2 linked regions of the Tamandua tetradactyla genome follow. The protein of the gene in region 1 binds, or shares a complex with, the protein of each later gene. Links are inferred from orthologs where the notes say so. Each region holds a gene or a part of one and is shown on either strand. Other genes may lie near its edges. The genes, in order: KLHL3 and WNK3.

What was found.
Region 2: the proteins of KLHL3 (region 1) and WNK3 are in contact, whole or in part, in a crystal structure (PDB 5NKP), measured with the Homo sapiens proteins. The link is inferred for Tamandua tetradactyla from reciprocal best matches to the Homo sapiens genes KLHL3 and WNK3. Residues at the interface, in NP_059111.2 of Homo sapiens: Lys312, Arg339, Phe355, Gly357, Arg360, Thr386, Phe402, Gly404, Ser405, Gly407, Ser432, Ser433, Tyr449, Gly451, Arg454, Cys456, Ser481, His498, Arg528, Tyr577; in NP_065973.2 of Homo sapiens: Glu537, Cys538, Glu539, Glu540, Thr541, Glu542, Val543, Asp544, Gln545, His546.

The regions. Positions count from the first base shown.
Region 1 is NC_135346.1:17,188,232-17,203,487, forward strand, and holds the start of KLHL3 (kelch-like protein 3), read right to left. Parts: upstream 5,733-15,256; 5' UTR 3,197-5,732; coding exon 3,030-3,196; intron 1,083-3,029; coding exon 963-1,082; intron 1-962. UniProt on the Homo sapiens protein: Substrate-specific adapter of a BCR (BTB-CUL3-RBX1) E3 ubiquitin ligase complex that acts as a regulator of ion transport in the distal nephron.
Region 2 is NC_135353.1:114,429,148-114,444,529, reverse strand, and holds the start of WNK3 (serine/threonine-protein kinase WNK3), read right to left. Parts: upstream 7,023-15,382; 5' UTR 6,910-7,022; intron 6,679-6,909; exon of another isoform or gene 6,499-6,678; intron 6,098-6,498; exon of another isoform or gene 5,762-6,097; intron 1-5,761.

The sequences.
Region 1 (15,256 bases):
CTGGTGCATTCCTCCTTCATAACACACCCATACACTGTGGAAAGATCATTTTCATTGATTTATTTTTAATTACTTTACCCCCACCCCAGGGCCCAGCCAGTGTGCCTCCAGTCATTTTTGGTAAATGAATGAAGCTCCTATGAAGTGCCAGGTGCTGGAGATAGAAATGACTCAGAGGAGGCCCTGCCCTCAGGGAGCTTACTGATAAACTAAACGAGAAAAGAGGAAATAAATGATCACAGCTCATAACAGGAGGAATATATGGTAAATCATGGTATGGGCAAGGGAAGTTTCTGAGCTCTTTGCTTAAGGAAGAGGCTGGCTGCGTACACAGGCTTTGTAGAGAAAAATGCAGGGATGGTGCTTTCAGCCTGCCTTGGAACAAACTCATCAAAGGCACACTTACAAATGACCTGCATTCCCCTAATGATTTAGTTCGTGGAGGGTGAGTACATCTGCATTTCATTTCTTTCTTTACAGAGTTAAATCACATTTGAGCAATTAGGTATTCTACATTCATGTGACTGCCTTGCCAAGCTAAGTTCAGATCAAGGAAGGAGAGAGGGAGGCTAAAAGAAAATATGTGGCATCAGTAATATTTCATCTGTAATTGTGTGTAGGTGTTGCTATCATTCTATTACTGGTCTTCAAGCAGCTGGTTCAGTTAGAAATCAAGTCTATGAACAAAGCTGCTGTAATCATAAAGGATTTGTCCCCTGTGATTAAACACTAAAATGACAGGTGTTAAATACAAAATGAAAAAGAGAAATTTCCAGCAAAACCATTCTGTTTCAATCAGTGTTTAAAAGAGAAACCAGGAGCGTTTCTCTGAGAGTGGGTGGGAAAGAAGCAGAGCTAGCTCTATGCGGTGGTGTTCTGACTCCTGCTCTCAGTCCGGGAAGACGCTCCTCCCCCCGCCCCAAGTTTCCCCAGAAAGGGCACAGGCAAGAAAGGAAAAATACCTCCGCAGTTCATTCATAACCTTGAACGCCTTCCCCATGTGGGCAGGGTTGACTGTGATCGTCCTCTGGTTCTTCTCATCATCCCCAGCCTGCGCTGGTGGCTGGGAGCTCGGCTTGATGCTGTGAGCAGGAAGGGAGAGGAAGGGGAGAGGATCACACATTGGTAAATTCATCTGTCCAACTGTCACAAAACCATGCATTTCCTTACCCACTAGGGGAATCTCTGCCAGCCCATTCTCACCCCAGACTCAGCAGGAAAGGAAATGCATTGGGTCAGGCATTTCTGCAGGATTTTCCAATGAAAAGTGCATTCCTCCTGAGAGGGCTGAGGACTAGGTCCTAGGTCAGCTTCTTCCACTAAATACTTGTGTGACCTTGTGGAAGGTCCTTATTTTACATCCTTCCATCTAAGGGCTAAGAACCATACCATTCACTTCACAAGGATGTTTGGGCATTCAACAAAAACTTAATAGAGCTTACTAAGTGGCAGGTACTATATTTAATTGGGACCAAGTGCTGGCAGGTTAAGGGAAAAGTTCCTGGAAGCTGAGACCTACAGGAAGAACAGAAATTAGATATATATTTGATATATATATATATATATATATATATATAGTAGATATATATATCAGATATATACATATATAAAAGATAAAACGTATTCCAGGCAGAGGAAGCAGTATGCATATAGACCTCAGAAGAGAAAAAGATCAAAGTGTGTCCAAAGTACTTGATAGTATAGCACAAGAGGAGAGCATCAAGAGAAAAGGCTAGAAGAGTGAGCAGTCTTATAAGGGTCTTAGAGACAAAGCTAAGGAGTATGGATTTCACGCTGAAACAATGAAAAGCCGTCAAAGGGTTTTAAACAGAGAAGTAGGAGAGGAAGCAGGTGAACAAATTTGTTCTTTAGAAAAAGCACATTGCCTGTGGTATGAAGAACAGAGGAATAAAAGTGAAGGCTCTTGGGAAACCATAATCCCACAGAATGACAGGGAATTTTAATTGTTATGGAAAGAAGGGCTATCTGTGTGGGCTGACTGAGCAGATGGTTACTAGTCAGAGTCACCCATAATCTCAAAGCCTTCCAGACTAAAATCAAGAGACAAAACATTCAGATTCCTATGAAACATCAGCTAGCTGTCCAAGTACTCCTGACCAATATGTTTCAACTTCACTGGGGGTAGGAAGGAAAGATCGAAAGAACGCGGAAAGGAGAACACAAGAAAAGACTTTCTCCCCAAACTAGTGAAAACTATTCAGTTTCAAGGTTAAGTCTGGGATTTGAAGTTACGTCTGTTTAGACCAGGCACAGCTTAGCTTTGCTAATAGGGAAACAGAAACTTCTCCACTCATGTAGAACTGGGGACCCACAGTTCACCCCAATTCTAGGACACTAGGGGTAGTAGTATCCCTTGACTTTCCCTAGGGGTCTCCTCTGTGCATGGCTTGCAAACTGGCTAGAGAAAAGGGCTACTGTGGCTAACAGAATATTGCAGAAATTTGACAGTCTCTCAGATTTCTAACTATTGGAACACTGAAATAAAATGAACAAGACAGACCTACAGTTTGTCTGTCTGATAATGTCAGACTCCTCCTTTGGCTCCCTGCCTCACCTTCAATTCAACATGCAAACATAAGCCTTAGTCATCTGAACTTTGGGGCTGTTTGGATTCTTGGTACAAGGAAGTCAGCTGAGCACAGGAAGCTAAATATCAAGAGATGCATGAAGGCAGATGATTAGAGTCATGTATCTATGTGGATAAAGAAAATCTCAGGCCAGAAAATGAGATCAGGATGAGGAGGCACCCCACAAAGATGAAAAACTTCATGAAAGAAATCCCACAAGCAAAATTCCTTTTATAGTTAGTGCCCTTCCTTGCTCTAAGGACAGAAAGATATTCATTTCCATTTTCTAATAAAAGCTTAACATTTTTTATTTTTGTATTTTAAGCTTTTATTTTATCTGACATTGATTTTATGTTATGATATTGTATTAGATAGGGTTCTCTAGAGAAACAGAATCAACAGGAAACACTTGCAAATATAAAATTCATAAAAGTGTCTCACATAACCATGGGAATGCAGAGTCCAAAATCCGCAGGGCAGGCTGTGAAGTTGACAATTCTGATGGAGGGTCTGGACGAACTCCACAGGAGAGGCTCGCCGGCCCAAGCAGGAAGAGCCTGTCTCTTCTGAATCCTCCTTAAAAGACTTCCAGTGATTAGATTAAGCATCACTCATTGCAGAAGACACGCCCTTTGGCTGATTACAAATGGAATCAGCTGTGGATGCAGTGGACGTGATCATGATTTTATTCTATGAAATGTCCTCATTGCAACAGATAGGCCAGGACTTGCCCAACCAGACAAGCAGGTACCACCACTTGGCTAAGTTGACACATGAACTTGACCATGACAGTTCACTTCTTGTCTACTTGGCAGCTATACATATCACCTTAAACCACACTTACTTCTAAATAAAAATCAATAAAACACATTTTTTCTTTCACCTAACAATACTCAATTGTCCTGCATATAACTAGAAACACATTAAATCTCTCCAGAATAGGGTGCAAATCCTTGGGTAATATTCATTCTTAAACTTGGTATCTTACAACTTAAATAGTATAACAGGAACAAAACAGCATTACAGTCCTCGTGTCTGTAACTGATCATGTGGTCGAGGTTCATATTTATCACTACCTTCTTCCACTACCCATTCCATGTTCCCTTTACCCTCACCAAGCGCTTCAGCTGGCCATGGTTCTTTGCCTGGTGGGATGACCAAACCTTCATTCCTGAAGTTTCAGAGCCATTGGTATTCCTGCCTGGATTAGGTTGTTGCAGTTTTTCATTGATTTTAATCACAGGGCATAGTAGTACTAAAAGACGCCCTAGGGGATCTCCTATATTCCAAGAAAACTCTTCATTACCTCCATTGTGTAGTTGCAGTGCTATTTCCCCCTGATAGTCAGGGTCAATCACCCCAGACAATAATGTAATCCCCTTCTTGGCTTGTTGATCCAGGGGCATGAGTAGCCCAAAGTGACCAGGTGGCAGTCTTAGATTCCAGTTCAATGGAATCACTGTTTCTCCTGGTGGAAGCACTCCCCCTTTTGGAACTAAAACCCGTAGCCCAGCAGAGCTCAGGGTCACAGGGACATGAAGCAGAAATTTTCCAAGTTGATCACTAGGGGTAATAGTGAGTGGTGCCACTCCCATTTCCATCCCTCGGTTCCTGGACCCATGGATCCTGGCTATGGGATAAACAGCACCATACAGTGGACGCTGATTCAGAGCATATGTAGCTTCCTGGAAAACATTACCCCAGCCCTTCAAGGTATTGCCACCTAGTTGGCACCGTAATTGAGTTCTCAAAAAGCCATTCCACTGTTCTATCAATTCAGATGCTTCTGGATGATGGGGAACATGGTAAGACCAGAGAATTCCATGAGCATGTGCCCATTCTCGCACTTCATTTGCTGTGAAGTGTGTTCCTGGATCAGAAGCAATGCTGTGTGGAATACCATGATGGTGGATAAGGCATTCTGTAAACCCACAGATGATAATTTTGGCAGAAGCATTGCATGCAGGAAAAGCAAACCCATATCCAGAGTATGTGTCTATTCCAGTTAGAACAAATCGCAGCCCCTTCCATGAAGGGAGTGGTCCAACGAATCAACCTGCCACCATGTAGCTGGCTGGTCACCTCGGGGAATGGTGCCACATCGGGGGCTGAGTGTGGGTCTCTGCTGCTGGCAGATTGGGCACTCAGAAGTGGCTGTAGCCAAGCCAGCCTTGGCGAGTGGAAGTCCATGTTGCTGAGCCCATGCATAACCTCCATCCCTACCACCATGACCACATTGTTCATGAGCCCACTGGGCAATGACAAGAGTTGCTGGGGAAAGAGGCTGACTGGTATCCAAAAAATGGGTCATCTTATCCACTTGATTATTAAAACCTTCCTCTGCTGAAGTCACCCTTTGGTGCACATTCACATGGGACGCAAATATGTTCATGTTTTTAGCACACTCAGAAAGGTCTATCTACATACTTCTTCCCCAGATGTCTTTGTCATCAATTTTCCAATTATGGCCTTTCCGAGTCCCTGACCATCCAGCCAAACCATTAGCAACAACCCAGGAGTCAGTATACAAACACACCTCTGGCCAGTTCTCCTTCCAAGTAAAATGAACAACCAGGTGCACTGCTCGAAGTTGTACCCAAGGGAGGATTTCCCCTCACCACCATCCTTCAAGGACACCCCAGAAAGGGGTTGTAGTGCTGCAGCTGTCCACTTTCGGGTGGTACCTGCATATCATGCTGAATGATCTGTAAACCAGGCCCGAGTTTTCTCTTCCACAGTCAATTCACTGTAAGGGACTCCCCAAGAGGCCATAGCTCTGGTCTGGGGGAGAGAAGGTAATGTGGCAGGAGTAGAGACCATGGGCATTTGGGCCACTTCTTCATGTAACTTACTTGTGCCTTCAGGACTTGCTCTGACTCTATCTCATATATACCATTTCCATTTTACAATAGAGTGCTGCTGTGCATCCCCAACTTTATGGTTTGGTGGGTCAGACAACACCCAGCTCATGATAGGCAACTCAAGTCTCATGATAACTTGGTGGTCCATGGTTAAGCATTCAGTTTCTACTAAGGCCCAATAGCAGGTCAAAAGCTGTTTCTCAAAAGAAGAATAGTTATCTGCAGCAGATGGTAAGGCTTTGCTCCAAAATCCTAAGGGTCTGCATTGTGATTCTCCTATAGGGGTCTGCCAAAGGCTCCAGATAGCATCTCTATTTGCAACTGACACTTCCAGCACCATTGGATCTGCTGGATCATACAGCCCAAGTGGCAGAGCAGCTTGTACAGCAGCCTGGACTTGTAGCAGAGCCTCCTCTTGTTCAGGTCCCCACTCAAAATTAGCAGCTTTTCTGGTCACTCAATAAATGGGCCGGAGTAGCACACCCAAATGAGGAATATGTTGTCACCAAAATCCAAAGAGACCAACTAGGCATTGTGCCTCTTTTTTGGTGGTAGGAGGGGCCAGATGCAGCAACTTATCCTTTACCTTAGAAGGGATATCTCAACATGCCCCACACCACTGGACACCTAGAAATTTCACTGAGGTGGAAGGCCCCTGTATTTTTGTCAGATTTATCTCCCATCCTCTGACATGCAAATGTCTTACCAGTAAGTCTAGAGTAGTTACTACTTCTTCCTCACTAGGTCCAATCAACATGACATCATCAATATAATGGGTCAGTGTGATGTCTTGTGGGAGGGAGAAATGATCAAGGTCCCTGCGGACAAGATTATGACATAGGGCTGGAGAGTTGATATATCCCTGAGATAGGACAGTGAAAGTATATTGCTGACCTTGCCAGCTGAAAGCAAACTGTTTCTAGTGGTCCTTACTAATAGCTATTGAGAAAAAAGCATTTGCCAGAACAACAGCTGCATACCAGGTACCAGGGAATGTATTGATTACTCAAGTAATGATACCACATCTGAAACAGCAGCTGCAATTGGAGTTACCACCTGGTTGAGTTTACAATAATCCACTGTCAACCTCCAAGACCCATCTGTTTTCTGCACAGGCCAAATAGGAGAGTTGAATGGTGAGAATCACTATCCCTGCACACTTCAAGTCCTTAAGAGTGGCAGTAATCTCTGCAATCCTTCCAGGAATCTGGTACTGCTTCTGATTTACTACTTTGCTAGGTAGGGGCAGTTCCTGGGGCTTCCACTTGGCCTTTCCCACAATAATAGCCCTCACTGCATGAATTAGAGAGCTAATGTGGGGATTCTGCCAGTTGCTAAGTATGTCTATTCTAATTATACATTCTGGAACTGGGGAAATAACTACGGAATGGGTCTGGGGATCCACTGGACCCACTATGAGATGGACCTGAGCTAAAACTCCATTGGTCACCTGGCCTCCATAAGCCCCCACTCTGACTGGTGGACCAGAGTGACGTTTTGGGTCCCCTGGAATTCATGTCACTTCTGAACCAGTGTCTAATAATCCCTGAAATATCTGATCATTTCCTTTTCCCCAGTGCACAGTTACCCTGGTAAAAGGCCGTCAGTCTTCTCGGGGAAGGCTTGGAGGAAGATTAACAGTATAAATCTGTGGAAGTGTAACAGGATTCTCCCCCAAAGGAACCTGGCCTCCCCTTCATTCAACAGGTTCTGGGTCTGTAAACTGTCTCAAATCTGGAAGTTGATTAAGGGGCTGTGGCTCTGTGCTTTTGTAATTCAGGTTAGACTTCTGTTCACTTGACCTAGAACTCTTATGTTTATACAGCTCAAACAAGAATTTAGTAGACTGACCTTCTATTGTATTTATAGGTACCCCATGATTTACTAGTCAATGCCACAAATCTCTGCAAGTCATATAATTTTGACTCCTGCTTTGAGTTTGTTGTCTATTATAATAGCCACATCTACCCTGTCTTTGGTGATTAAGTGCTGCCACCTGGCTTCTGCCAACTCGGGATCTGGTCATCTAGCTCAGTGGGATTCCAGCTCAGTGATAGCAGTTCCCACAGTAATATCTGACCTACAGAGAAGCGCAACTACAGAGCTCTTCAGGGATGATGGAATTAGTCTCACAAATTTATTTTTCACTGTTCTGGTAAAAGGTGCATCCTCTGGACATTCCTGGGGTGTAAGAGCAGGCTTTGCATGATAAATCCACTCCAACATTCCAATCTCTCTAAGCCTCTGGATCCCCTCATCTACATTATACCAGGACAGTTCTGGCATTTCAACCTCAGGTAATGTCAGCCACCTTTTGATCCATGTTTCAACCAACCATCCAAACAAACTGTTAATACCTTTTCTAACCCCTTGAGCTATAACATTGAATGCAGAATCTCTGCTTAGTGAGCCCATTTCAACCAATTCAGCCTGACCCAGCCTTATATTCCTCCCACCATTATCCCACACCCTTAAAATCCATTGCCACACATATTCCCCTGATTTCTGTCTATATAAATTGGAAACCTCACACAGTTCTTTTGGAGTATAATGCACCTCCTTATATGTGATACTTTGTACCTCACCTATAGGGGCCTATTGGGACTTTAGTCTAGTTATAGGTCTGGAAGAAATGAGGGACGGGTGGTGGGGGTGGGTCATGAAAAGAATTAGAAATATCTTCCAAGCCATTTGCTTCAGGGCATTCATTTGCAGTTTCATCTGGTGAAACAGGATTAATCACTCTAGGGCTAATCCCTTCAGGTGGAGGCTGGGTGGCCAACTCCGCAAGGCAGGCTGCAGGTGGGGTGGCTATGTTCTCAGGGCAGACTATTACAGGTTATCTGGAGAAGACTCAGCATGACCTAAGGTTTCAACCTCACCCTGACATCATTATTAATCCATACGTCACCATCCTATTTTTCAGGGTCCCACTCCTTTCCAATCAATGCCCTCATTTTCAGCAGACACCATGCAACATTGAGATTTCAGTTTACATTGTAAAGTTGCTACTCTAACAACAAGATTCTGAGTCTGAATTTCAGAGATCTCAGGCCTACGGCTACAGGAAACAAGATTATCCTTCAGGATACTCATAGAAACTTCGGCATCTGTCAGATGGCACTTAAGCTTCTCGTTTGAAGTCTTAAGCCTATCCCTTTCACTCCTTAATGTATTCAGTGTATCTAACAACAACCAGCCAACATCTCTACCTCTTATTTCCACAAAACTCCGGAAAGATGTCAAAAACATTATCCCCCAGAGCCTGGCTTCGTACAAGCGAAACATTAGGAGAATCGAATGGTGGTATTTTGACTATCTCTTTTGCCAACTCACTCCATGGATTGGGAGTGTCGTTCTGATTATGGGAATCAGAGTCCTTAGTGCCTCTGAGTCCAGTCAGAGCAGAAAACCATTCATAAAAACCCATTTTTAAGATTCTGTTTCTTAAGAACCAATCCTGGTACCAAGTTGTATTAGTTAAGGTTCTCTAGAGAAACAGAATCAACAGGAAACACTTGCAAATATAAAATTTATAAAAAGTGTCTCACATGTGCTTGCTTCGGCGGCACATATACTAAAATTGGAACGATACAGAGAAGATTAGCATGGCCCCTGCGCAAGGATGACACGCAAATTCGTGAAGCGTTCCATATTTTTGCAGCGCACCCCAAAGAGATTAGACCCAAATAGGCATTCCCCAAGACACTTATTAGTTAGAATGTCAGAGGTCAAAGAGAAAGAGAGGATCTTGAAAGCAGCGAGAGAGAAGCAATCCATCACATACAAGGGAAACCCAATAAGACTATGTGTAGATTTCTCAGCAGAAACCATGGAAGCTAGAAGACAGTGGGATGATATATTTAAGTTACTAAAAGAGAAAAACTGCCAACCAAGACTCCTATATCCAGCAAAATTGTCCTTCAAAAATGAGGGAGAAATTAAAACATTCTCAGACAAAAAGTCACTGAGAGAATTTGTGACCAAGAGACCAGCTCTGCAAGAAATACTAAAGGGAGCACTAGAGTCAGATACAAAAAGACAGAAGAGAGAGATATGGAGAAGAGTGTAGAAAGAAGGAAAGTCAGATATGATATATATAATACAAAAGACAAAATGGTAGAGGAAAATATTATCCAAACAGTAATAACTCTAAATGTTAATGGACTGAATTCCCCAATCAAAAGACATAGACTGGCAGAATGGATTAAAAAACAGGATCCTTCTATACGCTGTCTACAGGAAACACATCTTAGACCCAAAGATAAATATAGGTTGAAAGTGAGAGGTTGGGAAAAGATATTTCATGCAAATAACAACCAGAAAAGAGCAGGAGTGGCTATACTAATATCCAAAAAATTAGACTTCAAATGTAAAACAGTTAAAAGAGACAAAGAAGGACACTATATACTAATAAAAGGAACAATTAAACAAGAAGACATAACAATCATAAATATTTATGCACCGAACCAGAATGCCCCAAAATACGTGAGGAATACACTGCAAACACTGAAAAGGGAAATAGACACATATACCATAATAGTTGGAGACTTCAATTCAACACTCTCATCAATGGACAGAACATCTAGACAGAGGATCAATAAAGAAATAGAGAATCTGAATATTACTATAAATGAGCTAGACTTAACAGACATCTATAGGACATTACATCCCACAACAGCAGGATACACCTTTTTTTCAAGTGCTCATGGATCATTCTCAAAGATAGACCATATGCTGGGTCACAAAGCAAGTCTTAACAAATTTAAAAAGATTGAAATCATACACAACACTTTCTCGGATCATAAAGGAATGAAGTTGGAAATCAATAATAGGCAGAATGCCAGAAAATTCACAAATACATGGAGGCTCAACAACACACTCTTAAACAACAAGTGGGTCAAAGAAGAAATTGCAAGAGAAATTAGTAAATACCTCGAGGCGAATGAAAATGAAAACACAACATATCAAAACTTATGGGATGCAGCAAAGGCAGTGCTAAGAGGGAAATTTATTGCCCTAAATGCCTTTATCAGAAAAGAAGAAAAGGCAAAAATGCAGGAATTAACTATCCACTTGGAAGAACTGGAGAAAGAACAGCAAACTAATCCCAAATCAAGCAAAAGGAAAGAAATAACAAAGATTAGAGCAGAAATAAATGAAATTGAAAACATGAAAACAATAGAGAAAATCAATAAGACCAGAAGTTGGTTCTATGAGAAAATCAATAAGATTGATGGGCCCTTAGCAAGATTGACAAAAAGAAGAAGAGAGAGGATGCAAATAAATAAGATCAGAAATGGAAGAGGAGACATAACTACTGACCTCACAGAAATAAAGGAGGTAATAACAGGATACTATGAACAACTTTACGCTAATAAATACAACAATTTAGATGAAATGGACGGGTTCCTGGAAAGACATGAACAACCAACTTTGACTCAAGAAAAAATAGATGACCTCAACAAACCAATCACAAGTAAAGAGGTTGAATTAGTCATTCAAAAGCTCCCTAAAAAGAAAAGTCCAGGACCAGACGGCTTCACATCTGAATTCTATCAAACATTCCAGAAGGAATTAGTACCAACTCTCCTCAAACTCTTCAAAATAATCGAAGTGGAGGGAAAACTACCTAATTCATTCTATGAAGCCAACATCACCCTCATACCAAAACCAGGCAAAGATATTACAAAAAAAGAAAACTACAGACCAATCTCTCTAATGAATATAGATGCAAAAATCCTCAATAAAATTCTAGAAAATTGTATCCAACAACACATTAAAAGAATTATACATCATGACCAAGTAGGATTCATCCCAGGTATGCAAGGATGGCTCAACATAAGAAAATCAATTAATGTAATACACCACATCAACAAATCAGAGCAGAAAAATCACATGATCATCTCAATTGATGCAGAGAAGGCATTTGACAAGATTCAACATCCTTTCCTGTTGAAAACACTTCAAAAGATAGGAATACAAGGGAACTTCCTTAAAATGATAGAGGGAATATATGAAAAACCCACAGCTAATATCATCCTCAATGGGGAAAAATTGAAAACTTTCCCCCTAAGATCAGGAACAAGACAAGGATGTCCACTATCACCACTATTATTCAACATTGTGTTAGAAGTTCTAGCCAAAGCAATTAGACAAGAAAAAGAAATACAAGGCATCAAAATTGGAAAGGAAGAAATAAAACTATCACTGTTTGCAGACGATATGATACTATACGTCGAAAACCCGGAAAAATCCACAACAAAACTACTAGAGCTAATAAATGAGTACAGCAAAGTAGCAGGCTACAAGATCAACATTCAAAAATCTGTAGCTTTTCTATACACTAGTAATGAACAAACTGAGGGGGAAATCAAGAAACGAATCCCATTTACAATCGCAACTAAAAGAATAAAATACCTAGGAATAAATTTAACCAAAGAGACAAAAAACCTATATAAAGAAAACTACAAAAAACTGCTAAAAGAAATCACAGAAGACCTAAATAGATGGAAGGGCATACCGTGTTCATGGATTGGAAGACTAAATATAATTAAGATGTCAATCCTACCTAAACTGATCTACAGATTCAATGCAATACCAATCAAAATCTCAACAACTTATTTTTCAGAATTAGAAAAACCAATAAGCAAATTTATCTGGAAGGGCAGGGTGCCCCGAATTGCTAAAACATCTTGAGGAAAAAAAACGAAGCTGGAGGTCTCGCGCTGCCTGACTTTAAGGCTTATTATGAAGCCACAGTGGTCAAAACAGCATGGTATTGGCATAAAGATAGATATATCGACCAATGGAATCGAATAGAGTGCTCAGATATAGACCCTCTCATCTATGGACATTTGATCTTTGATAAGGCAGTCAAGCCAACTCACCTGGGACAGAACAGTCTCTTCAATAAATGGTGCCTAGAGAACTGGATATCCATATGTAAAAGAATGAAAGAAGACCCACATCTCACACCTTATACAAAAGTTAACTCAAAATGGATCAAAGATCTAAACATTAGGTCTAAGACCATAAAACAGTTAGAGGAAAATGTAGGGAGATATCTTATGAATCTTACAACTGGAGGCGGTTTTATGGACCTTAAACCTAAAGCAAGAGCACTGAAGAAAGAAAGAAATAAATGGGACCTCCTCAAAATTAAACACTTTTGTGCATCAAAGAACTTCATCAAGAAAGTAGAAAGACAGCCTACACAATGGGAGATAATATTTGGAAATGACATATCAGATAAAGGTCTAGTATCCAGAATTTATAAAGAGATTGTTCAATTCAACAACAAAAAGACAGCCAACCCAATCACAAAATGGGAAAAAGACTTGAACAGACACCTCCCAGAAGAGGAAATACGGATGGCCAAGAGGCACATGAAGAGATGCTCAATGTCCCTGGCCATTAGAGAAATGCATATCAAAACCACAATGAGATATCATCTCACACCCACCAGAATGGCCATTATCAACAAAACAGAAAATGACAAGTGCTGGAGAGGATGCGGAGAAAGAGGCACACTTATCCACTGTTGGTGGGACTGTCAAATGGTGCAACCACTGTGGAAGGCAGTTTGGCCGTTCCTCAAAAAGCTGAATATAGAATTGCCATACGACCCAGCAATACCATTGCTAGGTATCTACTCAAAGGACTTAAGGGCAAAGACACAAACGGACATTTGCACACCAATGTTTATAGCAGCGTTATTTACAATTGCAAAGAGATGGAAACAGCCAAAATGTCCATCAACAGAAGAGTGGCTAAACAAACTGTGGTATATACATACGATGGAATATTATGCAGCTTTAAGACAAGATAAACTTATAAAGCATGTAATAACATGGATGGACCTAGAGAATATTATGCTGAGTGAGTCCAGCCAAAAACTAAAGGACAAATACTGTATGGTCCACTGATGTGAACGGACATTCGAGAATAAACTTGAAATATGTCATTGGTAACAGAGTCCAGCAGGAGTTAGAAACAGGGTAAGACAATGGGTAATTGAAGCTGAAGGGATACAGACTGTGCAACAGGACTAGATACAAAAACTCAAAAATGGACAGCACGATAATACCTAATTGTAAAGTAATCATGTTAAAACACTGAATGAAGCTGCAGCTGAAAAAAAAAAAAAGTGTCTCACATAACCATGGGGATGCAGTCCAAAATCCATAGGGCAGGCTGTGAAGGTGATGATGCCGATGGAGGGTCTGGATGAACTCCACAGGAGAGGCTCACCGGCCCAAGCAGGAAGAGCCTGTCTCTTCTGAATCCTCCTTAAAAGGCTTCCAGTGATTAGATTAAGCATCACTCATTGCAGAAGACACAACCCTTGGCTGATTACAAATGGAATCAGCTGTGGATGCAGCTGACATGATCATGATTTAATTCTATGAAATGTCCTCATAGTAACAGACAGGCCAGCACTTTGTTCAACCAGACAAGCAGGTACCACCACTTGGTCAAGTTGACACATGAACCTGACCATGAAAGATATGAACTAGGGATCTAATTTTTCCCCATAAGTACCACTTATTAAATTATTCTTATTCTTCCCATCCATCTATCATGCCACCTTAGTCATATATCAAAGTTCCAAATAAACAAAGATCTATTTCTGGACTCTCTAACCTATTCTGTTGCTCAGTTTGTCTATCTTTTACCAATACCACATTATTTCTGTAGCGCTATATTGATATCTGATACAGTAAGTCTCAATTCCTATTATTATTCTTCAGAAGTGTCTTGGCTATTTTAGGTTCTTTACTCTTTCATATAAACTTTAGCCTACCAAGTCCCATGAAAAACCCTCACTGGATCTTGCTATCCATGCACATTGAGTTTCTCTCCATTTACTTTCTTTATGAAGATACTGCACATACTTAATTAGGTTTATTAATAAGTACTTTATAGTTTTTATTGTCATTTTATAATAGCTATGGTATCTTTTTAAAATTACATTTCTGATTGTTCTGGTTTATAAAATGTAGTTGATTTCTGCAAACTGATCTTATATACCTTACCAAACAATCCTATTAGTTCTTATTTTTTGTCTGTATACTCAGTTAGGTGTTATGTGTAGATAATCAATTACCTCCATATCATGCCAGGGATTTTTTTTCCTCCTTTCCAGTTCTTAGGCCTCTAATTTCTTTTTTGAAATAAATTTTGCACTGGTTAGGATGGCCACAAAATTTTGAACAGAAAAGGTGCTAATGAATATTCTTGTTGAATTCCTGATTTTAAAGATGTTCTTATAGGATTTTTATGGATGCTGTCAAGTGGAGAACATTTCCTTATATTTTGACTCATGCATTTCCTAATATAACTTATGTTGACAGCTTAATTGAACACCATAAGTACATGGAACCTTGAGTGGGGCATGAAATTTTGTAGGTTTGTTCACAGTGATGCCCCAATAAATCTCAGAGTGATATAAACAGTGAATAAAAAAGTATTTGCAAAGTCCCCTTCGGGGAATGGCGAGAAAGGGGGACAATTCAACTTCCCCAAGTGGAAAATTCCTGATAGTCTCACAAGCAGTGGGGACAACCAAAGCAATAGGCTGAGCCTTCAATCTTGGGGTTTTGTTCATATGAAACTTAACCTCGCAAAGGATAGGCTAAGATTACTTAAAATTAGGCCTAAGAGTCACCCCCAGAGAACCTCTTTTGTGGCTCAGATGTGACCTCTCTCTCTCAGCCAACATGACAAGCAAACTCACTGCCCTCCCCCTCTCTACGTGGGACGTGACTCCCAGGGGTGTGGACCTTTCTGGCAACATGGGACAGA
Region 2 (15,382 bases), on another chromosome or scaffold:
TATGTTTAGATGCTTTCATTTGATTAGCAAAGAAACCACGGAAAGTAGCTAGTGCTTTTTGTTTTGTTTTGTTTAATAACAAATCAGAAAATAGATGTTTACCAACTTGTACAAGATCACACTAAGGAACTGAGGCAAGACTAGAACCCAGACTGACTCCTACATTCCAGTGACATTTCCGCTCAGGAATACTGTCTATATTCATAAGGGATTTACTTGTTTATCTTAGATGCAAAAAGTAATAATTCACTCATTTTAAATAAGAAGCTTTAACATTTTTTAGTTCAATAATATAACTAGGTTTGAAGAACACACTGGGCATTTGGGAAGGAGCAAAGGATGAAAACAGTAAGACAAGTTATGGTCTTTGCCTTCAAAACTAGAGTCTCCACCACAGGATCTCAAATGGTCTCAACATTCGGGTCTCTGTTCAAAGTCACCTCCTCAAAAAAACCTTCCCTAACCACTTAAACTAAAGAGGTCCTTCCCCCAAGGAATCATCATCCTTTTTAAAAGTTTCTTCTTAACCTTTGTTTTCTGAAATGATCTTATTTATTTGTCGACTGCTGTTATCCTCCACTGTAATGTAACCTCAAGAGGGTAGGGTCATCGTCTGCCTTTTCATCTACACTCAACACATCAATCCTAGCACATTGGAGGAACACAATAAAAATTCACTGAATGAATGGTAGAAACTACAAATACCTCTGGTAAATCATACTCTACAATTCACTTGGACTAACAGCTTCAGAGTAAGTTATCAGAGCCTTTGAAATGTTCCTTAGCAAATGAACCACATATCTTAAAGGGCTGTTTTTTTCTTGCTAAAAATCTTCAAAGGCCTAGCAGGAATAAAATTATTTTGTGGGCAGCAGGGGATATAATCAGAGCTAAACTATCACGTCATAGATCCTGGGAGTGATCAAGTGCAATTTTTCCACTCTTGTGTTAAAACATATCCCTTAGCTTTAAAAAAACTCGAATGACCCTAATTTAATTATGCTTAACTAGAGAGCCTGTGATGTACTGAACAATTATACCGTACTAAATTTTCATTTTTACAAGTAACTAATCTTAATGTAACTTATCTTACATTATTCCTGAATAAATATAATATATAGGTGAAGTCTAAGCTAAAACCTAAGCAAGGCATTGATTAGTACAGTTTTGGTTAAGAAATTGACTCAAAATATTTGGAAAAGTTTCACATCGGAAGAATCATAAACGATATAACACATGGATATGATTGCTTTTAGGATAAATCTAATGCCAATTTCTGGCTAAATAAAATGATAATTATAGATTCTGGGTTTTTTTTCCCTAGATTTAAGCAAAGATTTTGTCCTACACAAAATCAGAAATCAAAAATAATTATTTTTATTAAAAAATCACTTATACAACTTTAGGATAAGGATTGACAAATTGAAGTTCCCTTATCATAAAGTCTCAGTGATTCACAAAAGAGCTTTAGAATATCCCACCTCTTCAAATACAAGTGAACTTCAAAAACTAATTTAGAAACATTTCTCTGGTACAACTGACCAGAGTGATTAGATATTGCCAAAAAATATCTTCATTTAACGACTATACACATACAGTACTGTGCATTATGTTTTATAGTTTTAAATTTTCAAGTTAATCTACATGAAAAGGATGAAGTTAGACCTTTACCTCAAACTATTATAAAAGTTAACTGAAAATAGATCAAAGACCTAAATATAGGGCTAAAACTCTTTAAAAGAAAACATAGGGATAAATTTTCATGATCTTAGATTTGGCAATGGTTTCCTAGATAAAAACACCAAAACCACAAGCAAAACAAAAGAAAAAAACTGAAAAATTTGACTTTGTCAAAATTAGAAACTTTTATGCATCAAAGGACACTGTTAAGAAAGTGAAAAGACAACCCACAGAATGGGAGAAAATATTTGCAAATCATATATATGATAAGGGTCTAGTATCCAGAACATATATATATATATACAACTGAACAACAAAATGACAACCCAATTTAAAAATGGGCAAAGGATTTGAACAGACATTCTCCAAAGAAGATATACAAATGGCCAACAAGCACAGGAAAAGATGCTCAACATCACTAGTCAGTTACGGAAATGCACATCCAAAACACAGTGGGATACCACCTCACACTTTCTAGTATGGTCTTAATCAAAAAATGGAAAACAACAAGCATTGGTGAGGATATAAAGAAATCAGAACCTACATACATTGCTTGTGGGACTGCACCAGCATAGCCTCTGTGGAAAACAGTTTTGTAGTTCTTCAGCAAGATAAGCATAGAATTACCATATGACTCAGCAATTCCAACTCCATTTCCTCAGGATGAATGAAAGCATATGTTCACATAAAAACGTGTACACAAATGTATATAGCAACATTATTCACAGTAGCCAAAAGGTAAAAACAACTCAAGTATCCATCAACATATGAATGGATAAACAAACCATGGTACAGCCATTCAATGGAATATTATTCAGCCATAAAAACAAATGGAGTTTTGATACATGTGACAACATGGATGAACACCGAAAACATTATGCTAAATGTAAGATGCCAAACATGAAAGTCACATATTGTATCATCCCACTTATATGAAATGTACAGAATAGGCAAATCCAAAGAGACAGAAAGCAGATTAGAGGTCCCCGGGGAGGGGAGCCTGAGGAGAGAGGGGAATGCGGGAGTGACTGCTTAATGGGTATGGGGTTTCCTTTTAGAGTGATGAAAATGTTCTGAAGCTAGATAGTGGCAATGGATGCACAACGTTGTGACTGTACTAAATACCACTCGATTGTACATGTTAAAATGGTTTAAAAGGTGAGTTTTATGTGAATTTTACCACAATTAACATTTTTTCAAGTTATCATGCTAAAACACAAAAAATATATAACTCATTTCTATTAAAGGAAAGTTCATCCAAAAATATATTTCTGTAAAAAAGGCTTACCTCTGCAGTAAGTCAATCTCAGCATCTTCCAAACCAAATTCTCATGACAAGTTTTACCAAAACAATAAAATATCATATCAAATTCCACTTTTGAACCTTTGTGAATTTCTAAATGAATGCTTTTACAGCCATCTATTACAATTATTAAGTAGTTTCTAACACTGCCATAAGTTTTATGGTCTCAAACAAAAATGGAAAAGTCCCACTCCTTTGAAAGAATTCTGGCTTTTAGCCAAGAGAAGTAATCAAGTATTTCAGCAAATAAAGTTGGTCTATTTATCCGAAGATGGGAGATGAAAAAGGAAGCGTTCTTTCTTACATACAATTTCGATTGCCCACCTCCCCCTCCCCATACACATATACACAAAAACTTACACCCTTCATTAATGTTTTTTTAATTAAATTACCAGACTATAAATCTGCGAGTACATAACAGTTTTCATCTTCTTTACTCCTGACTATTCTGGTTCTTTGCAAACATTGACTTGATCATTTTCTGGCTAAGCGATAAGCAACCTAGTGAAGACAGAAACTCCTCTATTTTATGGAAGATAGTTAAATCAGCATTAAAGAAAATAAACTCCTGAAACACTACAGGATAATTACATCAATGAATAAAGACTTATCCTCATATGAGGATCAGCATTGGTCTAGAAGACAGGGGTCTATCACTTACTTACTGGTGTAAGTCTTACTATTTGTAGACTTTACTTTCTTTCTCAGGTAAAAGGAGGAAAATACCTTTCCTGCCTTCATTCCAACAGAAGTACAGTAATAAAAATATGCACAAGGTATAATGGGAACTCTAAAGAGGGGCACCTAACCTAGCTTGGTGGAGTGTGCTTAGAAAAGGAAGGGGGCACAGCAAAGTCTTTTGGAAATAGGTGATTGCAGAGGTAAGTCTTCAAACAATGAGTTCAAATTGAAAGGGAGGGGGAGAAAGAGGATTCCAGGCAGAAGGTGGCATCACAAGCACAGGCAAAGAGACAAACCCCACAAATCTGCTTATGTGTGTAACTTCTTAAAAACAGCCAAGGATTCCTAACTCCCAACCCCAGCCTCAACCTAAGATTCCACTCCCCAGATTTACCAAGCTTATGCTTTCAAACCTCAATGCCTTGAATGTCCTCCACTACAGGAGCATTTAGTTCAAAATTGGAAGACAACCTTGCTAAGCAGAGTTGGTGCAACATTTTCAGGTACTGGATACTTTCTCAATACACTAACTATTCATCTCAACTAGAGATACTATGAACAGAATTACTAACTTTTGAATTCAAACTCTGGGTAGCCAAAACAGAAATTACACTCTTTCCAACATCAAAAAAGAATAAAAGAAAAACGGCATGGGAATGTCCTCAAGTTTGCAACATTGTCAAGATAAATGAATACATGTCAACAAAGTTTGTAAATATAATCATGAAAAGTTATAAATCCATAGACTATTAATCGTGACACAGAACAGAATGAGACCATTACATCTTTACCAGAAGACAAGCAATGTATTCAGAGAACAAAATGTCCAAGTTATCTGCTAGAATTTGAACTCACATCAAAAAACAGGCTCCAATTTGCAAACAAGGTAAATTCAGAATGACAAAAAGAATCACATGCATGTTTATTTTAGTGTTCAAATCAGCTGTTGTGCATTTTAGCTATCCTTTAATGCAAGGTCTTTCCTCTGGACTGTGCAGTTTAAACTCATCAGTACAAAGAATACAGAGACTGTCTGCAAGACACACCTGCTGCTCAGTGTTATATATACTGAAACCTCTTCGAATGTTCTCTTGGTATAACAACTTGCTATAGATGAAAAAAGGTAACAATGTCTCCCAAAATTGGATGTAATCTCTACTATACAGAAGATTTTCAGAATCCAAGACTTCATTCATATAATTGCTTCACTCAACAACAGTAACTCTTTAAAAAGAATACCCACACCACTTCTCTTTTTAAATTTTTTTTGAGGACTCTTTCATTTTAACAAGGTCTATCAACTCCCAAGATACGGAGATAGGCACGTGCAGGATTTTTACCGACATAAATAAAACCTCTTTCAGTACAGTCACTTCACCACTTTCATTCTAACCCTAATACACCCTCTCCTCCCTATCCCCAATCTGCCCGTCACAGAAAGCATTACCCATTTTCAAATAACAGTTCTCAATCTGCTTGAACCTAACATATTTTTACACAACCAGCCAATAGTCCTATCGACCCCCATACATCAACTGAACCTTTAAACTAAATCCACTCTTTCCCCGCCCCATTCCCATCAATATAACCCACTGCAACCTTACTCAACTTCCCACACCCGAAGCGTTCTACCCTTTCAGCGGCCTCAATCACACTTAAATGATCACTCGGTCCTTTGTCAACTGTTTCTTAGTCCCCCCCCTCCTATATCCTACTCATCTTCCCCTGTTCCCTTGTTGCCATCAACTCCCAAAGTTGCCATCTTCCTCCTCACCCCCTTCTCAAAAAAGATAACAAAAAACGCACCTAAATCTCAAACCTGCCCTTCCCCACTTTCCCCCTCTTTATTTTCGTGTCCGCCTGTGTTCGATCACTTAAACATCAGCTTCGACAAACCCCAAGATCCGAGACTCTTGGTTACTGCAATCACCCAGCCTGGGTCAAGCTGTCCCCTACTAAAGCTCTTACTCCGAACAGACTCTTGGCCGCCGCTGCCTCTCTCCATTCATCTTTGGCCCATTCATCTTTCAGCCCAATCTCAGACACGCCCCCCGGCCTCCTCCTCTCCCAGCGTCCAAAACGGCCCGGGACCCTCACCAGATTAGAGGATCTCGCGGAGGGAGACTCGGACTCTCTACGATTCTCCCTCGCCCTCTTTGAAGCTTCTGCTCGCCCCTCTCCGTAAAACACACACGCACACCACCTCCTCCTCTCCCGTTTCTTCCGATGCTTCTTACTCTCCCCTCCTCGATGTCTGGAGCACCGCTCCGCGTCTTGCGCGCGTGCGCGCGCGAGCGTCTCCACCAGGAGCCCACCGGACCAGCCAGGGATGGTAGGTAAAGAGCGGGCGGGGTTAGGGGAGCGGGGTACAAGCCCAAAGCTCGCGCACGCCTGGGAGCAGAGAAGGCGCACGCGTACTCCAGCTAGGGAATTCAGCTGGGTAGGAGAGAGGGGCGGAGGGGGGCGGGGAAGTGAGGGGACGGGGCTAAGGACAGGGTGAGGGGCGGAGAAAACCGACAGACCAGCCCCAACTCCTAACTGCCCCTATCGCTGCGAGGGGCCGTTTGGCTAGCCAACTACAGGATGCGCATTTCTCCCCCGCCCTCTTCAACGCAGCGGGAGAGAAGGATGCGCGTCGAGGAGAAAGGCTGCTCTTTCCAAAATGAAAATATCAGTGAGGAACGACGCATATCTGCTATATATTAAGGAGCTCTCCCTCTCGTCATCAGTTGTTTTACCCTCCCCCTTCAAAAGAAAAAAGAGTCAATGCACACGCCACTTCCTAGCCACCCACCACCCACTTTCAGTTGTCCCCAAGCCTCTAAATGCGGTACCTCTGCCGGCATGTGGTACCCAACAGCACCTTTTCGGCTGCCACCCCAAAGTCCCTTTTTCCAACTCCCGACTTTTCTCGCGAGACTCATACCTGCAGGCTTCGGAATTAGAAGTCGAAGCACAGATTTATAAATACCGGTCTCCCGGTTACATTATGAGGGCAACAGCCATGGCATATGCCCCCCCTCCCCGCCCGAGGATCGCATTGTGCGCGCATGAACTGAAAGACAACGAAAGCAGTGATGGGAAAGAAAAGCTATGAAACCGATATTTGACGGCATGTAACCGCTAGGCCTGGGCACGTGCCCTGTGCCTCGCAGACGGGTACGGTGTACCCTGGGAATTGTAGTTTTTGCTCCCACTTCCAGTCCCACTCCCACCCCACCCCCACCCCCCACCCCCAGCCTTACTTTAGACCTCGGGCCGGGAATTGGGGCGGGGGGAAGTTACCGACGCCATTTTGCCGGGAACAATGGCCCTCGGCCCTGGCAGTGGTGGGGAGGGAAGGGAGTCACGTTGTAAGGGTTCGGTTCACCTCCCCTGGCCCCTGGGTACCATAGCAACCCCTAAGACGCCTTGTCCCGCCCTCTCGCTACTCTGCTGGGCTCCTAGGCTACGCGCATGCGGAAAGGCCACCTCCCTCTTAGGCAGGCTCTCACGGTCTCCGAACGACCACCTCCCTGAGAAGCAATCAGATCCTCTAGTTGATAGTGAATGCTGAGTCCTTTGAGCTTTCATGACATGTTAACTTCAGCCAGTTGGCTTCATTTAAGAACAGCTTCCTGTGCTGTGTCAGGCGCAGTACAGATTTTTTTCTGTCATTCTCACATCGATCATCCCGGCTCTCCAGAGGAGGAAACTGAGGCTCTGGATGGGAAAATGACTTGCTCAAGTTCACACAATTACGTATAGTGGAGCCAGAACTTGAACCCAGGTGTGCTTCCTTGCAGCGCCCCTGCATTTTCCAATCTCCCAGCCCCTTAATGAAAGCTCCTAAAGGGTGAGATTTTTTCCCCACATGCCCTTGAGGCCTTAGCAGGATGCCTTGGGGGGGGGGGGGGGGTCGGATTACCAAACTAATATTTTCAACTACCCAGCCTCAGAGCCATATCACAGGGCTGAGCCAACCTCTCCCACCACCACCACCACTCCCCATACATTCTTTTTCTTTTTCTTTTTTTTTTCCTGTTGCAGGCCGCAGAACGTTAGCCTTTTTTCAGCTCTTTAAAATTCATCAATAAATTTAACTCTTGAGGTTTCCAAAGTCAGTGGACTGAATGGAGGGAGGCCTTGTAGCCCTGTCTCTTGTCTCTGCCCCTTTCTTCTTGAAGGTCGTTTATTAATGCTAGAATTGCTTGAGCATGTAAGAAAACCAGACCATGCCCTTAATGAAATCAAACTCCCATGTTTCAATTTTGATAATGAGGGGAGACTCTGAGTAAACAAGAATCAGGGCTATAAAGTCCAGCTACTCCACCTGCGAACAGCCTCCTGACCAAATTTGGAAGAGCAAGGTGTGTTTTTCTCCAAATAGTGCCACCACTCTACCTTAAGGGTCTCTGCATTCCCAGTTAGCTATAAAACGGATGGGGTCTCCCACACTCCTTTCCTCACTGGCGCAAAAAATAGTGCTATTTCTCTATTGAATTGCTGACTACTGTGGAAAAATAGAATAACAGTAGCTAAATAGCCTCTAAGGAATGGTTTCAAAGGTTACAAAGTTATTCCAAGTCTTTGTAATTCTTGGCTCCCACTGAGATGGTAATTAGAAACTTGTTTACTCCTTTATTTTTTCTCTTGGTTGCCTTACTCCCACCAGCACCGCACACGTCCACCTTTACAAAAAGTAACAGGCACCCCGCCACCCCCCCCCCCCCGCAGTTATGGCCTCTTCCTTTGCCTCTGTACCTGATGATGCAATCAATATAAAACAATATTTGGAAATGTCAGCCCTTCACCTTGCTCAGATTTGAACCTGTCTGAGCATTCGCTCTTTGACAGTCAAATATTTGTTTAATAACCATAAATCAGTGTGACTTTTACAAACTTCAGAAATTAGAAAATCGGACAAGTCTCCTCCCTATCCAAGTACAGACCCTTCTCATTTTAGACCTTTTATTGACCTATGTGCTCTTCTGTTTGCAATAACCTAATCCATAACTCAGCACAAATGCTGCTATAGAATGAAAGGGCAATTATAGCTGCTTACCAATCTATGGAAACGAACATTCCCGTCTTACCCACTGTCTCTCAAGTGGCATCTGTAAGGTTTCTATTCATGGAACAGCAAACTTTACTTTTATCAACCACTTGTAATTTGTATTTATATTATTCCAGGAAAACATCTTTCCGATAATCTAGTTCATCTATCTGGAGGTTCTGGTGCCAAGAAATTACAAAAACCTTCACTGGAACCACTTTTAGACCCTAGCATCCCACAGGTTTGGGGTGGAAAAGGTAGTTTCATGGCCCTACTACCTTTTTCTCTTCTTCCTACTACACAGAATGGTAACTTCTAGAAAGAATGGAGCCAAGATGAGCCTCAGAGTTTACAGTTAGCTGACTACTTCAGCCATGGTTAGAGATGTGACTGTTTCTAGAACTCAGTTTCTCTCTCTGAACCCTTCTTTTACCAAGTGATTGGGAAAACAATATCATTCTTGAAGTTCATTTCTCTTAACCCAGGTTTGAGGAATATGTAGTTACCTGGAAAGAAGGCAGTAGGGGTGGAGTAAGGGTATCTGTTTTCCTGTCCTTAGATCCAGTCAGTTACTGCTGAGTTCTCTGCCCACATGGGTCATTCAGGTGCTGTGGTCCTCTCCAGCATCTCTGCCAAACTTGGTGCACAGAATTCTATGTTGAGGCCATCTCTTGGTCTGTCTGTCTAAACATTCTACACAGCCTTTCCTCTCTTGAGTCTTGCCATGTATCAGATATTGCTTCTGGGAAGCTGAGCTATGCTGCTTTAACTCTCACAGCACTCTCTCTGTCTGCTCTTGTCACCTCTTCCCCCCAAGAAGGGAGGAATGAAAAAGAGCAGAATCTTTTTTTAGATTTGTGTAAATCTTTTTCTTCTAGTTTTTGGCCCAGATACTTTGTCTCTGCTCCTGCACCCTAGTCCCTCTTCTCTAAAAACTTAGGCTTTTAGAACACAAAATCCAGAGAGACTAGTAGAGTATATGTTTTCCTTCCTTGCCACCTCCCTGCAGATACATTGCAAAGCTGAATATACTGGTGAGGGGGCACTGGAAAGATTTTAAAAAGGCAAAATATAAGGAAGAAAAAAGATCCATTTATTTCCCATAATTATATTGCAGGCATATTCTCCCTTCAATAAATCTAAGCATTTACTTCTCATCCAGGTGTCCCCTGCTCAAGACATTAGCTCTCAGGGCCTGAATGTATGGGCAATATTTTCTTTCACAAAGCTTTGGCATTGGGGGAATTTCTCACTGGGATCATCTGGGACTTGTTAATGTCCTCCCAGGAGGCTGTCTTTCCTCCCAGCACAAGTTGAATGTCCCTTGAGTAAGAGCAAGCTGTAATAAGCATCACCTACCTCAGAAGTGAGCAGCTGTCTTTGGCTTAATTACTGACTTAGAAACACTGCACCTTTAAGGCTGGGCAATATCATTTTTCTAACCTAGTTGCAGAGTCTGGTCTCCTATTCCTTATTCCTAAACACAGTCTTTCCATATGTCCCAAGACATACATCAGAGGGAAATTGAGTGCCTTTGCCTGGGAAAGTGACCCTTGGACAGCGTGCTTGAAAAAGAGTAAGCCCACATCACTTCTCTTAAATGTGCAGTATCCAAGCTTTTAACTCCTTTGCAAATTCCCCACATGCCCAGGCTGCAGAAACTGAGTTGGGGTTACTGGAACTGCCTTTCCCTCTCCAGGTAAAGATACATTTTAGAAATATTCAGGCTGGCATAAGATATTAGGATATTCTTGTGGAAACCAGAGAATTCAGTCTCCTGGGCTAAGACTGCCTTTGAATGCAATTGTGATGTCCAGATTCAGCAGCCCATCTTGCAAGGATGAAGTAAAAAGCTTAGGGACAAAAAGGCAACACGTCAAGGATGGTGAGAAGGACAGAAAAAGACTAGGTTTGTGATGACATTGTTAAGCAGCTGATCCAATGCTAGCTAGCATCTGTGTCCCTCCTTTCCTCACTTTCACTCACCCCTCTCTCTCTCTCTGTCCCAAACATTCCGTAATAGTCTTTGAATAGTCTTGTCACAGCCCATTGGCATTTCTCAAATCCTTCATGTAGCAGATATGACTCTTAGTCACCCACTAAGGTAAATAATAATAATAATAATGCCAGCTAATAATTAAATAGCATTTACTATATACTTTATACAAGCCCATTGAATCTAACTGGGTAAATGCCGTTACTAACATAATTTTTCAAATAAGTAAACTGAGGCACAAAAAAGGTGAAATAACTTTGCCCAGAGTAACACATCAATTAAGTGACAGAGCTAGAAGTTGAACCCATTCAGTGTCCATGCTCTTAATCATTTTGTTATATCTTTCTGTATTGCCTGTGATTCCATTTAACTTTGGACATCAAGCTCCCCATTCCATGAGGCTGACAACATAATTTAACCTCAGTTCTTCTTGAAGTTCCTCTACCCCAGGCTCATGCCACAGTTCTGGACTATTATACATTGTTGAGGCATTGGAGCAAGAGCCCATTAAATCCTTAGTCATCAAGCAACACAGGTTAGCAGTCAGAAGTCCATTGCTTCTGCCCACAATATTCTGGCAGGGCTTTGTTGCTATAGGACCCTGCTTGGGAATTTTTGCACAGGCTCTGTTCTCTTCAAGATTTGCTGTTTACGCAGGGACAATGCCAGGAAGCACCACACAGGTTCCCTCTACCCAGGACCCAAGGATCTCCCTGATCACATTACATTAACCCCAGCCCTAGGGAGCAAGAAAAGAATAGAATCTCTTTTTAGCCTAGATACAGTCCTTCTCACTTTGAATTTTCTGGCCAAGACACTTTGTCTATGCCCCTAATTCTTCTCCCCTAAGGACTTGGGCTTTTGAAATACAAAAGCAAAGACACTGGCAGATGAAATCTTCTAGTCTTGCCATATCCCTTCTCCTGGGACAATAAGACCTGGGAAGAGTAGGCAGGGAAAAGAAGATATAGAAAATGAAAGCAACAACTATAGAAAATACAAAAATATCTCAGTTTATTTAATAAACAGTGCTTTCAAAATTGGCTTTCCAACTAGATAAAAGCAAAGCTAGATCCCTACTTTATGCCATATACAAAAATAAATTCCAGGTGAGTGTCTATTTCCCTGCATCTATCCATTGCTGATAGGAGTATGAATCACTACTACCTTTTTTGGAAAGTAATCTGGAAGAATTAAATAACAATAAAAATTCCACAGTATCTATTCAGAATGGTTTGAGCTGCAAGTCACAGAAAATTTAACAATGTCTTAAACAAATAGAGGTTTGTTTTTCTTTCTCACATAACAAGAAATCTGGAGGGACACAGATGCTAGCTAGCATTCGATCAGCTGCTTAACAAGGTCATCACAAACCTAGTCTTTTTCCATCCTTCTCACCATCCTTGACAAGTTGCCTTTTTGTCCCTAAGCTTTTTACTTCATCCTTGCAAGATGGGCTACTGAATCTGGACATCACAATTGCATTTAAAGGCAGAAAAAAAGGGTGAGGGGGCAGCAGTGGGCAGGGAAGCAAAAGATACACATCTGTACTTTTTTTAGGGAAGACACTTTTCCCCAGATATCTCCAAGGAAACTCATTCATATATCTCCTTTGCCATAACTGGATGACATACCACTTAAAGACCAGGGACTGGGGCCACCTTCCTTGAGATCAAGGGTTCTCTACTTAATACCGGAACAAAACCAGCATTCTGTTTGCAAGAAAGAAGGAGGAGAATGCCAAATGCCAAATGATTAGGCAATCACGGTGCCTGCTATATACCCATTGACTCAGCAATCCCACTGTTTGAAATCTATCCTACAGAAAGAAAAGTACCAAGAAACCTGCATGTCCATAAATACAGAAATGATTGAATAAATTGTGGTGTAGTCACACTAAAGCATATTACACAGCTATTAAAAATAATGAGTTGGATTTGTACCTGTTGATCTGGAGGAAATTGCAAAAGGGTCTCTAAACCATAATTTTAATACTGGTTACCTCATTTAGGAGTATGTATGTGTTTAAGGGTGGTTAGCACATGTTACTTCTGTGATTTTGTAGAGCATTTTAATGAAGAAAATTTATAGCAAAACTTTTATGCATGCAAAATGGAAATGTTATAATGAAGTCTTTTACAATAATTTCTTGAGAGAAAATTGTTTTTGAGCTGCAGTTTTAAGCCAGGCATGCTTTTTCAAGAACACATCCTTACATAAAACAAGGAGCACTTGATAAACTATTTCTGTTCAGAATGCAGGTTAAGTGATATACTTAAAAAAGAGTATTGGACTGACTGTCAGGAAATCTGGGAAAAATAATTATAGTAATGCTGCTACTGGTAAGAAAGACAAGCATGCAATTATAGTCTCGACTTCTGGTGGATTTAGAATACAGAAGAGGAGATAACACATAAACAAGTGAAAAGGAAAATAATAATTCAAGAATTGTCACAAAGTACTGAACAACTAATTGTCATGTACATGTTCCTTGCAATAAGTGCTACAAGCTGTCAGGCTTACATTCACTCAGTCATAGACTATCAGAGCACAAGCTAAAATGTCAGACCCTGACATTGGTAGCTGTTTCTGCATACTTTTTTTCTCCACAATTGGTTTCTGAAACTTATTTATTTTCTGGTTCCCCAGTTTCAGTGACTGATGCCCTGGCTTGTTGCCATATACATAATCTGCCCTGTGTATTGGGACTGGGGCTTGTCTTGCTTTCACCTGTCGCCCTCCTTCACAGAGACCAAACCTGAAACCTGTCCTGGGACTGGCTGAGCTTGTGCTTCTTGCTGCCAGATTTCCACGATGATGCTTATATAGGACTAAATTGTACCAGCCTCCTCGCTAATCTCTCTGCCTGTGGCCTAGTAGCACTAGTTCATTTCTCACATTGGCCAGCAGTGATCTTTGTAACACACAGATCCATTTGTGTCACTTATCTGCTTAAAACCTTTCAGTGGACTTCTGGCCACGATTGAATAACAGGGATCAGACTTACCCTCTGCCTTAAATAACTGAAAACACAGACTAAATATATGAAATAATGGTTTTCAGACATTGAACATCAAGCAGTGCAGGAAAATGATCCCTGCGAGGTGAGAAAAAAATAAGGTGACTTCTATGGTTGCCCCAGCTCGCCCCTGTACAGTTTCTAGACCACAGTGCAGGGAGGGGGAATCCAAATTGAGCTTGAGCCTCACCCTTAGTTGAAGAGGAGGAGCTGAGAATTGGGGAAGGCCAAGATGGCTAGAATTTATATGACAGAATGTCAGAGAGGGACAAGGTGCATGGAAAGTAAAGAGCTTAATGGAGAAAGTGCATCAGAGACCTCCAGAGTGTTCACCTTGAGTCTTCAGGTGAGCATTAGAGAATACATGTATATGATAAAAGTACCAAGGCCAAGGAAAGAATCACTTGAAAGGAACAGGTAGGAGGGGGGAGGATTCCCCAGGGCCCACACTGAGTTGGGATAATTCATATTCCTAGCAGAGTGGAGAAACCTTGCAATACATGGAGCATCAAGAAGAGTAATCAGAGGTTGTATTGCCTCAGTAGCAAGGCAAAATTATCCCTAGACTAACGACTACTCTGGTCTCACTGTACAATGCTTTAAGGCAAAACTCAAAAGAGATAAAATTGTTTCCCAGTAATTAACTGTGTCTCAAAGCAAAGTTCAAAATAATTTAAAGGAATACACCCACACCCAAAAAATCCACAACCCAACAAGGTAAAATTCAATGTCTAGCATCTAATAAAAAGTTATTAGGCATCAATTCTACTCCTAAGTATATACCCAAAAGAATTGAAAACAGGGACACAGATACTTGTATGCCAATGTTCATAGTAGCATTATTCATGATAGCCAAAAGCTGGTAACAACCCAAGTGTCCATAAAACAAAATATGATATATCCATAGAATGCAATATTATTCAGCCATAAAAAAGAATGAAGCTCTCATACATAGCTATAACATGGATGAACCTTGAAAATATTATGCTAAGTGAAATAAGCCAGACACAAAAGGACAAATACTGTATGATCTCATTTATATGAAATATTCAGAATAGGCAAGTTCATAGAGAAAGAAACATTCAAAGTTATCAAGGGCTGGAGGGGGGATGAGAAGTTATTGCTTAAGGGGTACATAGTTTCTATTTGGGATGATGAAAAGTTTTGGTAATGAATGGTGGTGATGGCTGCACAACATTGTGAATATAATTGAAGCCACTGAATTGTACACTTAAAATGATTATAGTGGAAAATTTTATGTCATATATTTAACAGTTATCAGGCATACATAATAGCAGAAAAATGTGACCAATAATGAGAGGAAAAGTCAGTCAATAGGAGACCTAGAAACAGGATAAAGTTAATTGACAAGGCAATTAAGACAGCTTTTATGAATATATTATATAAATTGAAGAAGGTAGAAGAGGAAAGAGTGGGCATATTAAGAAAAAACATGGGGCGGGCCGCGGTGGCTCAGCGGGCAAAGTGCTTGCCTGCCATGCCGGAGGACCTCGGTTCGATTCCCGGCCCCAGCCCATGTAAAAAAAAAACAAAACAAACAAACAAAATACAATAAAACAAGAAAATGTTTAAAAGATGTTTCCCTTTCTTCCTTCCTTCTTTCCTTCCCTTCCTCCCTCTTTAAAAAAAAAAAAAAAAAAAAGAAAA